Linked DNA regions of Oryzias latipes. The protein of the gene in region 1 binds, or shares a complex with, the protein of each later gene. Links are inferred from orthologs where the notes say so. Each region holds a gene or a part of one and is shown in the gene's direction. Other genes may lie near its edges. The genes, in order: tert, gar1, nhp2 and wrap53.

What was found.
Region 2: tert (region 1) and gar1 share a complex: the UniProt entries of both Homo sapiens proteins name them as parts of the telomerase holoenzyme complex. The link is inferred for Oryzias latipes from reciprocal best matches to the Homo sapiens genes TERT and GAR1.
Region 3: tert (region 1) and nhp2 share a complex: the UniProt entries of both Homo sapiens proteins name them as parts of the telomerase holoenzyme complex. The link is inferred for Oryzias latipes from reciprocal best matches to the Homo sapiens genes TERT and NHP2.
Region 4: tert (region 1) and wrap53 share a complex: the UniProt entries of both Homo sapiens proteins name them as parts of the telomerase holoenzyme complex. The link is inferred for Oryzias latipes from reciprocal best matches to the Homo sapiens genes TERT and WRAP53.

Annotation. Positions count from the first base shown.
Region 1 is NC_019869.2:25,694,998-25,698,562, reverse strand, and holds part of tert (telomerase reverse transcriptase), read left to right. Parts: intron 1-812; coding exon 813-937; intron 938-1,421; coding exon 1,422-1,559; intron 1,560-2,900; coding exon 2,901-3,004; 3' UTR 3,005-3,012; exon of another isoform or gene 3,013-3,565. UniProt on the Homo sapiens protein: Telomerase is a ribonucleoprotein enzyme essential for the replication of chromosome termini in most eukaryotes. Active in progenitor and cancer cells. Inactive, or very low activity, in normal somatic cells.
Region 2 is NC_019868.2:3,863,719-3,867,899, reverse strand, and holds the start of gar1 (H/ACA ribonucleoprotein complex subunit 1), read left to right. Parts: upstream 1-1,346; 5' UTR 1,347-1,434; intron 1,435-1,553; exon of another isoform or gene 1,554-1,570; intron 1,571-4,181. UniProt on the Homo sapiens protein: Required for ribosome biogenesis and telomere maintenance. Part of the H/ACA small nucleolar ribonucleoprotein (H/ACA snoRNP) complex, which catalyzes pseudouridylation of rRNA.
Region 3 is NC_019872.2:3,233,471-3,237,707, reverse strand, and holds the start of nhp2 (H/ACA ribonucleoprotein complex subunit 2), read left to right. Parts: upstream 1-1,372; 5' UTR 1,373-1,476; coding exon 1,477-1,630; intron 1,631-1,725; coding exon 1,726-1,795; intron 1,796-2,969; coding exon 2,970-3,075; intron 3,076-4,237. UniProt on the Homo sapiens protein: Required for ribosome biogenesis and telomere maintenance. Part of the H/ACA small nucleolar ribonucleoprotein (H/ACA snoRNP) complex, which catalyzes pseudouridylation of rRNA.
Region 4 is NC_019876.2:6,280,739-6,284,303, forward strand, and holds part of wrap53 (telomerase Cajal body protein 1), read left to right. Parts: intron 1-1,854; coding exon 1,855-2,066; intron 2,067-3,474; coding exon 3,475-3,565. UniProt on the Homo sapiens protein: RNA chaperone that plays a key role in telomere maintenance and RNA localization to Cajal bodies. Specifically recognizes and binds the Cajal body box (CAB box) present in both small Cajal body RNAs (scaRNAs) and telomerase RNA template component (TERC).

The DNA of each region.
Region 1 (3,565 bases):
AGGGCTTAATGTAAGACACCTGTGACCAGAAGAAGTGATGAGGACACCTGATCATTTGGATGGATGAGCCAATACTTTTGGTAAAATAGTGTATATAGAGTAGATTAAGCTCAAAATTGCACTTGTCAGTATTTCTTTATTCAAATCATTGTGAATAAGGAGCAGATGAAAAATGCCTTTGAAACAGCTTCTAGTTGTAACAAAATAAGTTCTAGTAATCTACAATCGGTGGTCCAAAGTCTTCCTTCTCCATTCTGATCGTCCACCATCAGACAAACGGATCCATGAACGTCTTTGTTTTCCTGGTCTGAGCTGGTATCTGGATCAGAATTGAATGGCTGGATAGCTACGATGTTGATCACCATTTTTGTTTCACAGTAATGTTAGGTTGGAATTTTGATGTGCTGGAAGGTAGCAGTGTGAAAACAGAGAGCTCTCAGCAGCAGGGAGGGGAGGGGAGGGGAAGGGAGGGTGTGGTTGCTTTATGCCAACGGTCCCGTCCACAAATCAGAGGTGAATTTCTACTGAATTCCTGCTGCTCTGCAGAAACTATGTCCTAGAAAACAACAGAAATGTTTGATTTTGGCTAAAAGTGGCGTCATCCTAACTAAAAGACCACTGGGAACGCTCTGAAAATAGATGGGATCGGACTTTAAAACTGTTTATGTCTCTCTTTTGCTCATTTAAAGACTTTTTCAAAGTCCAATCCTTTGTTCAAATAAAGTCTTTTGGTGTTTAGCGTCTCAGAACATGCAGGTGTTTCAGCCTTTGGTCTGCAGACCTGCAGCCTCCTCTGTGTCCGCTCTGTCCAGGTTCCATGTCTGTGTTCAGAGTTTACCCTTCGCCCAGACGGTCGCAAAGAACCCAACGTACTTCCAGCAGATGATCTGGGACATGGCGCACTATGCCAACGCTCTCATCAGGCGCAGCAACACAGGTACTTTACTTTATTCTCTTTTCCAGCTCAAAGAAACGGTCTGTTAGTCATTTTAATGGTTGGTTTGTTAGAATAATAAAACAAGAAACAGCAAATCTAGAAAAACCCATGCAGAGCGGAGGAAGATGAGTGAATCCAGGTGAGTTTCTCATCTCAGGCTCACTTGAACTCAAGCAGTCAGTCAGATTCCAGACTCTCCACCATGACTATGATCACAGGGAGGTTCAGAAAAGCCTGGAACAAACCACCAAACCTTTGGTTTGAAGAACCAAGAAGAAGCCGTTAAGATCCTTAGATCTCCTGGTGCTTCGACAATAAGTGTGACTGCAAACCAGAACGTCAGTGTTGCATCACAGCTTCACCTATTAAGATGTGGATCAGTTTAGTGTTTTTGTCTTTTATGGCTCAGAGAAACCCCGAACAGAAGGTTGGAGCCCTGTCTCCTCTGCCAGGTTGTGTGCTCAGCTTCCCCTCTCTCCTCCAGGGTTGGTTTTGGGGGATGGAGCTCAGAAGGGCAGCGTTCAGTACGAGGCCGTGGAGCTGCTCTTCTGTCTGGCCTTCCTGCGGGTTCTGTCTAAACACCGACCCGTCTACAAAGACCTGCTGCCACGCCTGCACAAATGTGGGTGTTCCACCAAGCACTAAGTATAAAAATGAAAGTCACTCAACACCTGAACGAAATATTCTAAGACTTTTAACACTTCAAATCATCAGCTGAATATGCAGAAGACAAAACTTGGCAGCGTTTTGAGAATTTTAGCAGATCATTTTGACCTTTCAAAGGTTTGATCAGCCAAAGGCTTTCACTGCTCTTGAACCGTTTTTCTGATGATGGAGGACATATGTTAAGAAGATGAAGGTCAAAAATGTAGTTCTGAGTATTTCTTTATTCAGATTGCATTAAACCAGGAGCAGATAAAAAATGTCGTTTAAAAAAGACCATATTTGTGAAGAAGAAAATACGCTGGGCAGCCTCAAGCTTCCTGCTCTGCTCCATTCTGATCATCCTCTGTCAGACCAACAGATCCATGTTTGTCTTTGTTTTCCTGGTCTGAGCTGATCTGGATCTAAACTGTACGACTGGATAGATCTGATACTGCTTAACACGTTTGGTGCCCTGCTAATGTTAGGTTGGGGGTGAGAGAGGCTGTAAGCCAGCAGGTGAGCGTGTAAACAAAGAGCTCTCAGCAATGGGAGAGGAAGGGGGTGGGCTTGCTCTGTGCACAACTCAGAGGTGGGTGAATTTCTAAAGAACTGCTGCTGCTCTGCAGAAACTATGTCCTAGAAAATGACTCGGCTTTTAAAAAATTTTGTCCAAAAATGACAATCACGATTTAAAGACCACTGGGAACGCTTTAACAATAGATGAAGAGACGATTAGAGGGGATCTTTGAGTTCTTTATTCAATCCCGTGTTTGAATTCAGGAGGATTCTTTTAGAACATTTCTTTTCTCTGAATGTGGGTTTAGAAGCTTTGGCACTATTGATGAATATCATGACAAAGCTGCTCGCTGAGAATGGATCAGGACTCTGTTTACTGAACTTGTTTCTTCATAAAACATCTGTCCTCAGGAGACAGAGAGGTTTGCTGAGCTGATGGAGAATCTGAAATCTCCTGGATGAGGCTGGGTTTTGCCTGAAGGTGGCATCAGCTGAGAGGCGTACAGGAATATCCGTGATGCAGTCGAGCATGAACTCTGGCGTTGGGTTTTTATGGTCAGAACTGCAGCACGGCTGTTACAGAAAGACCAAACATGAAAACACAGGAACTTTCCTGGAATACATCTTCTCTTAAAGGTGGATGCTGTGATGGCTGTATCCACGCTGGCCAATCTGAATGTTTTCAGGTGTATTTAGCAGTTTTATAACCAGCTGTTATGGGATTTTACAGCTCAGATGGGTGGATTTTACAGTTCGGAGATGAACTGTAATATCTCAATATCTGCTTTCACCCTCTGGACAGGGAAGCGCCGGTTGGAGAGGCTTCTGGGAGACCTGAGGCTGGCTAGGGTCCGGCAGGCCGCCAACCCCCGGGCTCTGCTGGACTTCCTGGCTATGCAGATGTGAGTCCACAGGTAAAAGCAGCCACAGGAACGGAAATGTGTGGGCAGTTTGACAGCATGGCTTTCACATGAGGATTTATTTTGTTAAAGTGATTAAAAGAAAAGAAAATGGAAGCAAAACGTTGTAATTTTTCTCTCAGATTGACATGATGAACATTCAAGGCTTTTGTTTAAACGAGCAAATGGAATCTTACGTGTTCTGTAAAGCACAGTAAATATGTTTTGGTCATCTCTTAAAAACCACTTAAGCGATAAAACCCGGTGATAAACCGGTGTCGTAAAACAAGCTCAAGTTGATGAATGAAAAACTTGAGAAGAATCCAGCTTCTGACATGGAGCCTGGCTCATTCCTCAGACGCCTGTATCTCTGGACTTTGATTCACTCGCTGCGGTAGTTTTCCACAAAGAAGATATGGTTAGGCTTTAAAAATAACTTGTCTGTAAATATGTGCACGGAAACGTCATCAGCCTCCAGGGATTTCTTTTACTGTCACAAGTACACAAACAAAGTGCAGCCAAGTGAAATAAAAAACCCTGATGTTTGAGGTTTAGCATTGAAACCAGC
Region 2 (4,181 bases), on another chromosome or scaffold:
TGTGACTATCAACGACTGGTTACAAACACAATCACACACTCTTTCCTCTCTCTCTCTCACACACACACTCTCGGAAAACAAAAGCATTCCTCCCTGACCAGCTGTTGCCATAGTTACCCGCGCAGCAGAATTTTAAAAAGCCAACAAACACTTAAACATCTCCACTATTGGAGCAGCGTCTGTCTGGCGAAACTTTTGATGAAGTCAGAGTGGTCTGTCTCTTTAAGGACGGGGCAGGTCGGCTTATGACACAAAGAAGACAAGGGTTGCCAGATCGGTCATGTTTCCGCTTCTTTGGAACTCTTTGGGCTGGACACATCTGCAGTTGGCAAAATGAACAAATTCAGGCTGTTTTTCTCAAAACTGATGTTTTGTTTTAAATTTAAAAAAATGTTTTTCTAGAAATTATGCTTAAAGAGTTTTGTTGGTTAACCAGATGTCACTAGAAAGAGCTGTAGTAAATTACTTTAGAATTACTTTAAAATATTATTCACACATAAAAAAGTATTCATCCAAATAACTATCAATATTACAGAAACAATTAACACCTAAAACAAAAAAAAATTGAACATATTGAACTGGAGGTGTAAAATTATGGAATAAGGTAAAAAAAAATAACCACAAATTATTGTGCTGATTTACATTTACAGTCAACTAAAGGTCAAAAGGAACATGGGGTTGATTTCAGTCTTTAGCTATTGTGAGGCTTATTGTGAAAAAAATTACTGATATACAAGTTTGAAATCTTTGTTTTCACACATAGCCCACACAATATAACCAATATTATTCTACTTTAAAGATTAAACTGAGTTTAGTCCTACTTCACAAATGAAAAGAAGCAGTGACAGACCTTAAAGCAGTCAAACACCTGAAAATGACATGCTGAAGTCTGATCCAGATGCAAGTTGGATTTCTGGTCATGGTTGTGCAGTCAGAGGAAAATCGTAGTGTAACTCAGCAGCAGAGGTTTCCTATTGCATTTGCTAAGTTTCTTGTTAATATAATTTTTTAAGTGTTTTTAAATAACAAATGATGCAAATACCACAAAAAAAGTTATGAATACAGCTCAAGTTACTAGGAACCGCACGAACAATTGTGTAGAAAATACACACAGAAAATGCAAAAGATTAAAAAGAGACTGATAAAAACAACAAATCACTCAAAAGGAGACGACAACTAATAGTTTATTGATTTATATATTTTTATAAAATAAATCTATCTTGATTTTGTAAATTACCATTAAAAAGTCTTAGTTTAGCTTTTTTATGTGGGGGGAAGTTTAGTCCGGGTTGTGTTTGCCTTTACTGATTTTACTGCGTAGTTTTGTCGGGAAATGATCTGATCTGGCAACCTCCTGTGCGACATCAGAGACAACCTTTACGGCAGCCTGCGCTTGCGCGTGTTGTCACGTGGACATTTCCTCTGCGATAACAGGTAAGTTCTTGCCTTTACATCTTATTTTCTTGGGTAATAGTTTTCCACGTGTCATATTATTTATCAGCAGATGAGCGGGGTGTGTAAAGAACCCACTGGAAAGCGGTGGTTTCGCGCCTAAACGGTCGTGTTTACGGTGAGCTGCTCCGGGAAGCACGTGCTCTCGCTGATCCTTTCACCGAAGCCGGTTTTTTTAGCGCGTGAGGCACCGGGGGAGCCTCAGGGCGCGTTAAAGTTCCGGACACGGTTCCACGCGTGTTTCTGGTTACTGCAACCTGTCGTGTCGCTGTGTTTGCCAGCTAAACACTCGCACTATTTGCACAGCGGACACGGGACGGGACGGTCGCACGCGGCTGAAGACTGGATTCGTTGACGGGATCACTCCGCGGTTGTAAAGCGGCGGGCGGCTATCTGTGTGCTCTATTTTGTAAGACTGTAAGGAGTAAAACATTTGTTTGCATTCTTACTGTAACGACTCGGTTTCCGCCCACTGCCATAGCAATCAGCGGGCGAGGTGCATCATGGGAGCTCATGGTTTTGGTGCGTTTGTCAGTTCAGCTTTTGGTGTTTTCTTTGTTCATTGTGTTGTTGTTTTTTTCTTTAAAAAAGTATCAAATATACGCCATGTGGTCATTGGCATATACACAGAGTCCCGATATTCAATTCAACTGAGTGAGCATGCGCGTTGAGCCTCGTTTATTAAACTAAAAACAGAATTAAACTTTCTGAAATGTTATTGATCTTCTAGAAGGGAAATTATCTTTATCATAGTTTTGTTTAAAAAAAACAGATTATAATGGCGATGTCCTGCCGTATTTTTTGAGAATGAAGTGATATTTATGCCAACACATTGCAAACAAAACTTTTTAAGTAGCAAGTGAAGGTATTAAATAGTTGCTTAAATAGTTCTTAAATTTTTTTCTGCTTTCAAAAAAAAATTTTGCGTTTTAACACGTCTCATTTCGCTGTTTCCCTATCTTTGATTTAACGTTCATAAGTCTCAGTTTAGCGTGACATATGTGCCAACAAACAGCCTGCTGATTGGTCCAGATTCTAACCAGCCGCACAACTTTGTCTTCATAAATGCGTTTCTTTTTGACACATTCCTTACCCCATAGTATCAGTCTATGGGTGGATTCAGACTCCACACAGTTGGTTCTCTTAAAGTGAACCAGAAGTTCGTTTCCCCCGACAATCTGGAACAAATTTTCAGTCTGAATAAACCCAAGTGGGCCCTGGTGCGGGACCAGGAACCGCTTGGTTCCATCTGTGGAGGTGGTCTCTCAGTTCGTTTCCAATCGGACTGAGCTTTGGTGTACTCTAAGGTTCTTCAGTCTGAATACAGTCTGTTCCCAGAGTGGAACAACGGAACCAAAAATGGCCACCGTAGCCGCTCCGTATGGGATGTAAACGGAAAAGGAAGTAACCATGACGATGAGACACAGCAACTCATTGAAATGTGATTGGATAAATGCAGGCTCATTAAAACAACTTTTAATGTGACGCACGTTGCTTCTCACTGTTTTCCCGACCATCTGCATGTCATAAAGTCTTATCAGTGACTCTTGCCGTTAGCCGCCCTACAGCCAGCCTCCACTGGACCAATGGGATTGCAAAGTGCACTAGTCTTTGACTGCCCTCGTAATTCCTGGCCAATGACTGAAGAGATCTTTAGTCACACGTTTTTTTTTTTACAAGCTTTGGTTGGTTGGAAACAGAAATGTCCGGTTGAAGGCAGTCTGACTACAGACCCAATGCAACGCTCAGGACTCAATCTGGACCAAACTAAGCAGACTCAGTCCAGACCAACTGACACCCTTCATATTTTTCAACCCAGTTCCTTACAATTCCCTCTGTTTAGACAGTTGACTGTATATGAGAACTGGACTGAGTGACTCCTCTCCCGTAGAGTTCCAAACAGGAAGTTCCCGCTGTCTCCAAGAAGCCAAATTTCCATAGACTTCTACAGAGAAATGAGCAGCTGTAACTCACTTAGGGGTAGGGTTGTGCCGATGGACGATATCATCGTCCATCGTGATGGGTGACTGACATCCCGATGGAGAGACCACCATCGTGATGCCACGCCCCCGCCACGTTGCGCGTCGACACCATAAGCCGCGGTTACATGTACAAAATATCTTGATGGGATCAATGGTCGGATTAGAATCCAACCGTGTAGATGGGCCCAGAAAAATGTTTTCAGAATATAAAAACGTTCACTAAGGTCACACTTTCGGTCGGAATAAATCATTCGCACATGCGCAGTTTGAAAACCGGAAGGGGATACAACTTCCGCCGAGCGGCTTTTTTTTCCAAACTTTATTGAATGTAACAATTCAATACAAAACAATGTTAAACAGCGCCGAGCGGCTTTATACATTGACATGTCAGCTCAGTAATTTACGAGCCAATCTTCTAAACGTGCCTTTAATAATGTTACGGTTATTATGAAACACCTGTTCGCTCATCATTTGAATTTTAATCCGTGTGGTCAGTGCTTTTTCTGAACGAAGCCAGGATTAGCAGTATGCTAACACGGGCTAACAACATTAGCTTTGGGTGGTGCTGCTTGCTGGCTGCACGTAAACATGTAAGAATAACATCAGCCTTTATTTAGTCGGGACACGACTGGAAACACAAATCCGCGTGATTGTTTGAATGTTTTCTAAGGACTGAGCGACATTTCTGCTTTGAAGCTCAAACCGCTGTGTGTGCTGACGATCCGAGCTGTGCTCAGTCAGACATAG
Region 3 (4,237 bases), on another chromosome or scaffold:
TGCACCACGATCGGATCAACAATCGGCATAACCCACCTATCTTGATCAGAAAGAAATTTTGATCCAAACGAGTCTGATCGGGGCAGAGTATTCCGAACGGCGTGTTTACATGACGCATTTTTCTTCTGATCAGGTGTTCATTCCGATTACTTTTGTCCATGTAAACGCAGCCAATGACCTTAAAGCCCCGCCCCCAAGTAAAATTAGGCACTCTCAGTGAAAACTGAAAGCTAAGGAGGAAAGAAACAGAGGAAACAAACGTTGAAAATGCAAAACAAATAAATATTATTTTTCATTTGGTATCAGTTTAAGGTTTGAAGTTCTTGTTTAAACTTAGGGGTCAAGTTTTTTTAATTTTCATTATTTCTTTTGGCGTTTTCAATGTGTACTTTTGAGTTATTTTTTTTTTTACCTGATCCTAATTTCAATTCAATTCAATTTTATTTGTATAGCCCAAATTCACAACAACAGTCGTCTTGATGGGTTTCATATAATTTGACCCCATAGCGTGTGGCCCATCAATTTCAGTTTGTTTGACAATTGACTGTTAAATTTACAACTGGATAAATGGCGTGTGATATCATCCATAGAAAATGCCTTGCTTCTGGTTGCAACCAACTGAAGTCAATTCAGTCCCCATTTTTCTGCGATATGTCCTTCACCATGTGAGAAGCAGATGACCTCAGTAAGCCGTGATTGGCTTGTCTACATTTCTGTTGCAACCACTCTCTCCAATCAGGAGTGAGCCTGTTAGAAGGCCACACCCCTTTCCACTGAGAGCGGATAGGGAGGGTCTGTCAATCAAACGTTTCAAACTTCTGACGCTACTTTTATTAAGGCATCTGATTTGTCAGTTTATAACTTAGATAACTTTCACTACAGGAAAAATACCATGAGAAAAATCAGGATTAGCAATAAGATTTTAATAAAAGTTATCAGATCCAGAATGGTTATTCTGACCAATAGAATGACAGAGTAACAGCTGTTTATTTCTTAATAGAAGTCTATGGGGTTTTGCCTTCTTAGGACCAGCAGGTACTTCCTTTTTTGGTACACGGAGGGGGTGGGGGGGTGTTTTTCAGTCTAGTTCTTATTTTACTCTCAATGGTAACGACAAGCTTTTTTACACTGTAAGTTTGTCATCTACTCCTGATTCACAGCAATTTGAATAAAGAAATAACAGAAGAAACACACAAAAACACACATTTAATCTTAATTTTCTTTTTATATTTTCACTATCATGAGAAAAACACCACAAGAACTTAAACACAATTTCATTTTTGAAAGAAAGAAGCAAATTAAAGTCATTTGGAATGTAAACTTTGAAACGTCACGCTGCATTTCACCGCCCGGCCGCTAGCGGCGCTGTGATAAGCCGTAGTCTGAAAAAAGAAGCAGAGGAAGCTGAGCACGTGAGGTGTCCTCGTGTTAAGTTGTTGTTAGCAGACGTTCGGCTCAGAAAATCATCGATTGGAAATGACGAAGGTGAAGAAGGAGAAATTGGATGCGGAGGAGCCCGCCGGCGTCCCGGAGCGCTCCTATCACGAACTGATCGCGAACCTGAACCCGATCGCGCAGCCGCTGGCTTCCAGGAAGCTCAGCAAGAAGCTCTACAAGTGCGTGAAGAAAGGTACGAGTGCGGGACGTTTCCAGGTTGTGGATCAGTCCGGGTCCGACTGGGACCGGGTTGGACCAGGACAGTATTGAGCATTTTTGTGGTTTCAGCTGCCAGAGTGAAGAACATCCGCAGAGGAGTGAAGGAGGTGCAGAAGTTCATCAACAAGGGAGAGAAAGGGTGAGTTAGAACGAGCCGGAGCTGCTCAGGAGGAGGAGAAGCATGTTGGTGGATGAAGCTTCTCATAGGATCCTTTGTTTTTCTCTAGAATCCAGATAATTTCCGTTTGTCTCTGTGCTGCTCTTCATTTCTCATTTTATTGTCTGGAGCTACAGTTCTTTAGAACTTTAATGATGAGAAACTTTGCAAAACCTTTCAACCAAGTTCTTTTCTGTTTTAGTTGGGGTTTAGTCAAAGCGACTCAGTGATGTTGGCCAGTTCACAAATATGACTGCGCATGCGCGGGGTCAAAGGTCAAGGCCTCATTGGACGACAAACTTGGTGATGGTCTCTAACCCTAGCCATGATGAAACATATTCAAAGTTAAAATAACAGGACCATCTGCCCGGTCAGTTAACGAACTAAAGGCGCCCGACGATGCACCAGATGTGCTGCGACACAGGTGTGCTGCGACACAGGTGTGCTGCGACACAGGTGTGCTGCGACACAGGTGTGCTGCGACACAGGTGTGCTGCAGAGGCCTCATCCCCACAGCAGACGATGATAAAAAGGACGTATGCATGCGAAGCATTGGACATGATACAACTTGAGGACTGGATAACAGTTGTCTGGTTCAACATTAGGCCCACATGATGCAGTACTCAAACATTCCAGATCTATAATACTAGTAGAAGGCTTAAATATTCCATATGGACTATCTAAAGGCGTACGACATTCTTCTGTTTCTTTGACAGATCAGAATGCCACTTCTCTGCATTGACAGAAAACAATAACCCGATCCTCTTGTGATTGAAAAGGCTCTTGGGTTGGTGAGGAAGCAACTAAAACATGGCTGACAGAAATGTCAATATTGCTCACTCATGTCACTGAACGGTCTGTTCTTACTAGTATTTGCTGCTTTGGTTTTTTTGTTGCTATTTTTTCATTAGCTGACCCACCAACGGCAAACTGCATCTGCCGATGGACCTGTACTTTGTCTTTGGTTATGTATCGTAATGGCTGCGTTTTGGCTTAGCGGTCACCTTGTCTGCTGTCCATTGAGGTCTCGACCTTTGACCCCGCACATGCGCAGTCACCCGTGTGACTCAGTCTTTTGTGTTTAGTCTGAGGGGGCGTGACCAGAAGTGACTTCATTGCTTGCAAGCTGGTTTTCTGATTGGTCGTTGCTCTACAGGATCGTGGTTTTAGCTGGCGACACTCTGCCCATCGAGGTGTACTGCCACCTACCGGTCATGTGTGAGGACAGGAGCCTGCCGTACGCCTACATCCCCTCCAAAGTGGTGAGTCAGCAGCGCACCTATGCAGGTGTTCCTCTCTTTGAGGACTTCAAAAATAGCAGTAATGAAAGTGGATTTGCAGAGGCGATCCATGAAGGGATCTGCTGAAAGGTGAACCACCACCGACAGCAGTAAAGTTATAACTAAACCTCTGGTACGTTGTGTAAAAGTGAGGAAATATTTCAAATTTTATTTGCTTTCTTCAGAGAAACACATTTTTTCAAACGAGACCAGAACATTAAAGGTGGACATACATTCTGTGAAAGAAAGTTCTGGAAGTAAATACTGAGATGATCTCCACTCACAACCAAAAATCAAATAAATATAAATAGCTTCCAATATATTTATACACTAAACTAGAAATTCCTTACATCCAGTGAAGTATATTTGGGTTACAGTAGCAGCATTCTGGTATGGAGATGTCTTTGGTGGGTGGAGTTCTCAAAAACAAAGCGCTTGAATGTAAAAAGCACAATTTTACAGAATATGGCCTAAACTGTTTAAAATGGATATAAAGTGCCTCTATTGCAAGTTACAGGTACTTAACATTCTCAGCTGTTTCTAACTTTGCTGCTGCTGGGGTGTGTCAGAATTCCTTCACTACTCACTGCATAATGCGTCCACCTTTTTGTAGAGCTGTCTGAATCTACAATTACAAAATCCAGTGCCCTAGAAATTTACCAGAAGTCTCTGTGAAATACCAGTGTGCATCAAGGCTCACTATGTCGGTGAATATAGACCACAATGCATAGTATCAGAACAATTTTTGCCAAAAGAAAATGTATTTAAATGTATTTTTTTAATTAAACCATCAATGTTTTTATCTTCAGAACTCAGTGGACTCATAAATAATGGTGACAAAACGCTCATATGAATTAGATTTTAACTTTGTGAAATCAATTATGTCATATTCGCCATTTAAAATATTAAGCACTGAGCATTGTGTCTGAATTTTCTTTAAAATCCAGGGCACTAAATAGTTTTAGTAGTTAGGGGTTAGGGTGGGAGTTTGTCATCTTCCACTGACACAAGAGAAGGTGCTGTTCCCTCGACTCTCCTGCAGGAGGCAGTACAGTTCACCTCATAAAGGTGTGATGTCACCATCAGGTCTTTAGTTTTAGCTAACCTCAGTTATAATGAGAACTATTTCCAGAGAGTCCACAAA
Region 4 (3,565 bases), on another chromosome or scaffold:
AATAACGAATAGCAGTTATACAAGAACGAAAAATGTAAAAAACAGCCCCCCCCCCCGACGATGTCATCGTCCATCCCGATGGTTGACAGCAATCATCGTCAACGGCCAATTTAGGGGACATCGCCCGACCCTAACGCCATCCCGCTCGTACCGTGCTCACGTGCAAAGTTAGTCAGTGTTAGCGGACATTTAGAAGAAGACGCGTTGTCATGGCAACAGCCGCCAAGCCTTCACCGACCAGCGGAGGAAGCGCACATCGCAAAAGTCTGCGAAAATTGCGTTAAATGGCTACCTTAAATGTGCTAAAACAATCTCATGGCAACTTAAAGTATTTAACGCATCAAATAAATCCCTTCATGCGTTTGACCAATCGGATGGAGCCCTTTGATGTTAGATGTCCGCCTCCTATGTAGACGAGTATGTCTGAGAAAACCCACCCATGCACGGGGAGAACATGCAAACTCCACACAGAAAGGCCCCCCGTTGATGTTCTGGTTCAGGTCCCCCAGCCGGGACTTGAACCGGGGTGGTGTCTTGCTGTGAGGAAAGAGCGCGAACCGCTGAATCCCTGAACCTTTCAAGATATTCCAGGATTTCTGCCTCCATTGAAATAAATGGGGAATTTTTGGTGCAGAAGCTCGCAGGTTTGAGACCCAGCTGTGGCATTGGAGGAGGAGTTAAGGCACTATAATAAAGAGAGAGATACAGGAAAACAAGGGGTTGAATACCTTATAGCATTCAACGCATTAGGTTAGCATTTATCGCAATTTTCACCGAGTTTTGCACATCTTGATGTCGCGATAACGTTAGATTTATTGTGCAGGCTTAATTTTTACCATCTTGTCGCATTTTTCTCAAGTAAAGAAATCTGAGCTCAAATTCTGCATTTCTGAGCGTTTCTTTATTGAAATTGTCGTGAATAAGGACTGCGTGAATTTCTAGTGAACTTCAGCCGCTCTGCAGAAACTATGTCCTAGAACACAACGCCGGTTTCAGGCCAAGAAACGTTCAAATTGTAATTTAAAAAAAAAACACAGGGAACCCTTTTCACAATAGATCGAAGTATGACTTTGATGCGGTGAGATTTATAGCAAACATCTGTTTTTATTCCATCAACACCTGATGAAGACCTTCATCAGAAAATTTCTACCAATGTGCAGATTTCTGACGCTTCATCGTAGGGAACAGGAAAAAAAAATCATTGAAGTTCCCTGAAAAAATCGGCTTGAGACAAAAGTGATTAAAAAATAACTAAATAAATAATGATACGGTAAATTCAAACCCATTAAAGTGGAGCAGCAATTTGACTTGCAGAATAGTACAATTTTGTAGAATTCAGTGCAGAATTTGGCTGAAACTGAAGGTTTAATGACAGTAAATAAAGCTGGACGGGATTCTGCTAATTCTGCAAAGATCCGTCCGCTGAATCGAGAGGATCCAGGTTTGAAGAAATAACTGGATTTGCTGCAGGTTTTATGCCAGATTCATGAGAAACCATAGCTTCTGCCTGGTTTTTTTTTGTGGTTAAAAAAACCACAACGTGTTGAATTTAAAGAATCTCTGATCTGAAGAATCAGCAGGAACAAAAAATGCATTCAAGGAGGCGGTTCGTCATTTTTCAACCCAGAAATTGAAGAGATTCGATCAAAACAGCGAAACTGCAGGAAAAGCCAAAGTTCTCCGTCCAACAGCGCCTACTGCTGGAACCGGAGCTTCATGACGAGGCCACCAAAGCTTCTCGGAGCCGACGTCTGGTCGTCCGTCTGCAGATTTTTCCGTCTGCAGAAAAATAACTTTAGCCTATTTGTGACAAAAAGTTTTATTTTATTTTTTAATGATCTGTCCTCGCTGCAGTGAAGAGGCGGGGCCAGAACGGCATCATTTCCTGCTTCGCCTTCAGTCCGTGCCAGTCGGTCTACGCCTGCGGCTCGTACTCGCGCTGCGCCGGCCTGTACTCCTGTCAGGACGGCGCCCTGCTGGCTCTGCTGCCCACGCTGCACCACGGAGGCATCACCCACCTGCTCTTCTCCCCCGACGGCAACTACCTGTACACCGGGGGGCGCAAGGTCAACATTTTCACGCTTCTCCCTGGTTTCCTTTGTGGTGTTTGTGGAGCTGGAGAGTCAGAGGAGGCGTGTGTGTCTTATTGGCTGTAGCTCACCTGTTCAGCTGAGCTGTACATTTACGACTTTAAAACGCGTAAATTAACAAGAAAAAAGTCAAAAGTTAAACAAGAAAAAACCTCAAAGGTGCCTGTTTATTGGAGCCTTGCTGGAAGATGAAATATGTGGAGCGTTCTGTGAGGTTTTATTTCTGGATAGGTTTCAAAAACACAGATATTCTGAACCTCTTGGCGACTCAGAATGAGATTATTGTCAGTGTAGTCGCCTTTCCGAGGTTCAGTGTCGGAGTTTCATGTGTAAAATAAGGAACTCAAGAGACACGTTTGGGTGTAGAGGACCAATACTTTATTTTCTCTTCCATTCACACACCCTGAAGTGCATTTGTCTCATTACCTCATGAATCTGTCATCAGAACACCAATGTGTTGTTCTATTAGCATTACAACGTTGAAAATGCCAGAAAGTGTTCCTCCTCCTCAGACGGAAGTGTCACAAAGACTTAGAGGTGTTGGTTTTTATGGAAGTAGAACGGATTGAAGTGGACATCTGCCTGCAGGGACACCCATCAATGAATAAAACATTGATAAATTGTAAATCAAAAAAAATTGTAATGTTATCAATGAACATTCAGCTCACCTGTTGTGTCGGTTGAGTCTGTCCGCTCTGCTGCTGCTCTGTATGCTCAATTCGAGCATACAATTGAAACATGCTCAATTTTAATTTCATAAATTTACATGAAAAAAGTCATATATTTTTTTCCGTAAATTTAACACATTGAATCTCGTAAATTTAACATGTTTTTTCTCTTAAATTTACTACTTTGAATCTCGTAATTTTATGAGTTCTTTTCCCGTAAATTTAAGACCTTAAATTTCGGAAATTTCTAAAAAAAAAAAATTCTCGTAAATTTACTACTTTTATATCTCGTGATTTTGTTAATGTTTTCTTTTAAATCTACGACTTTAAATCTCGTAATTTCACGATTTTTTTATTTTATTTGCAAATTTACGACTTAGAATCTCATAATTTTACGAGTTTTTTCCCCCCGTAAATTTAAGACTTTAAATCTCAGAAATTCACGTTTTTTCTCTCGTAATTTTACTACTTTAAATCTCCTAATTTACTAGTGTTTTCTTTTAAATCTATGTCTTTGAATCTCGTAATTTTACGATTTTTTTTTTTTTACTTACAAATTTACAACTTTAAATCTCAATTTTACAAGTTTTCTTTCCTGTAAATTTAAGACTTTAAATCTCGTAATTTTGCTTCTTTTTTTTGTGTGTGTGTGGCCCTAACACTTAAGAACAAACGTACTAAAGCTGTGATTGGATTCTGCGTCCTTGTGCCACCAGGATCCAGAGATCCTCTGCTGGGATCTGAGGGAGCCCGGGAAGGTGGTGTTCTCTCTGAAGAGGAACGTCACTACAAACCAGCGCATCTATT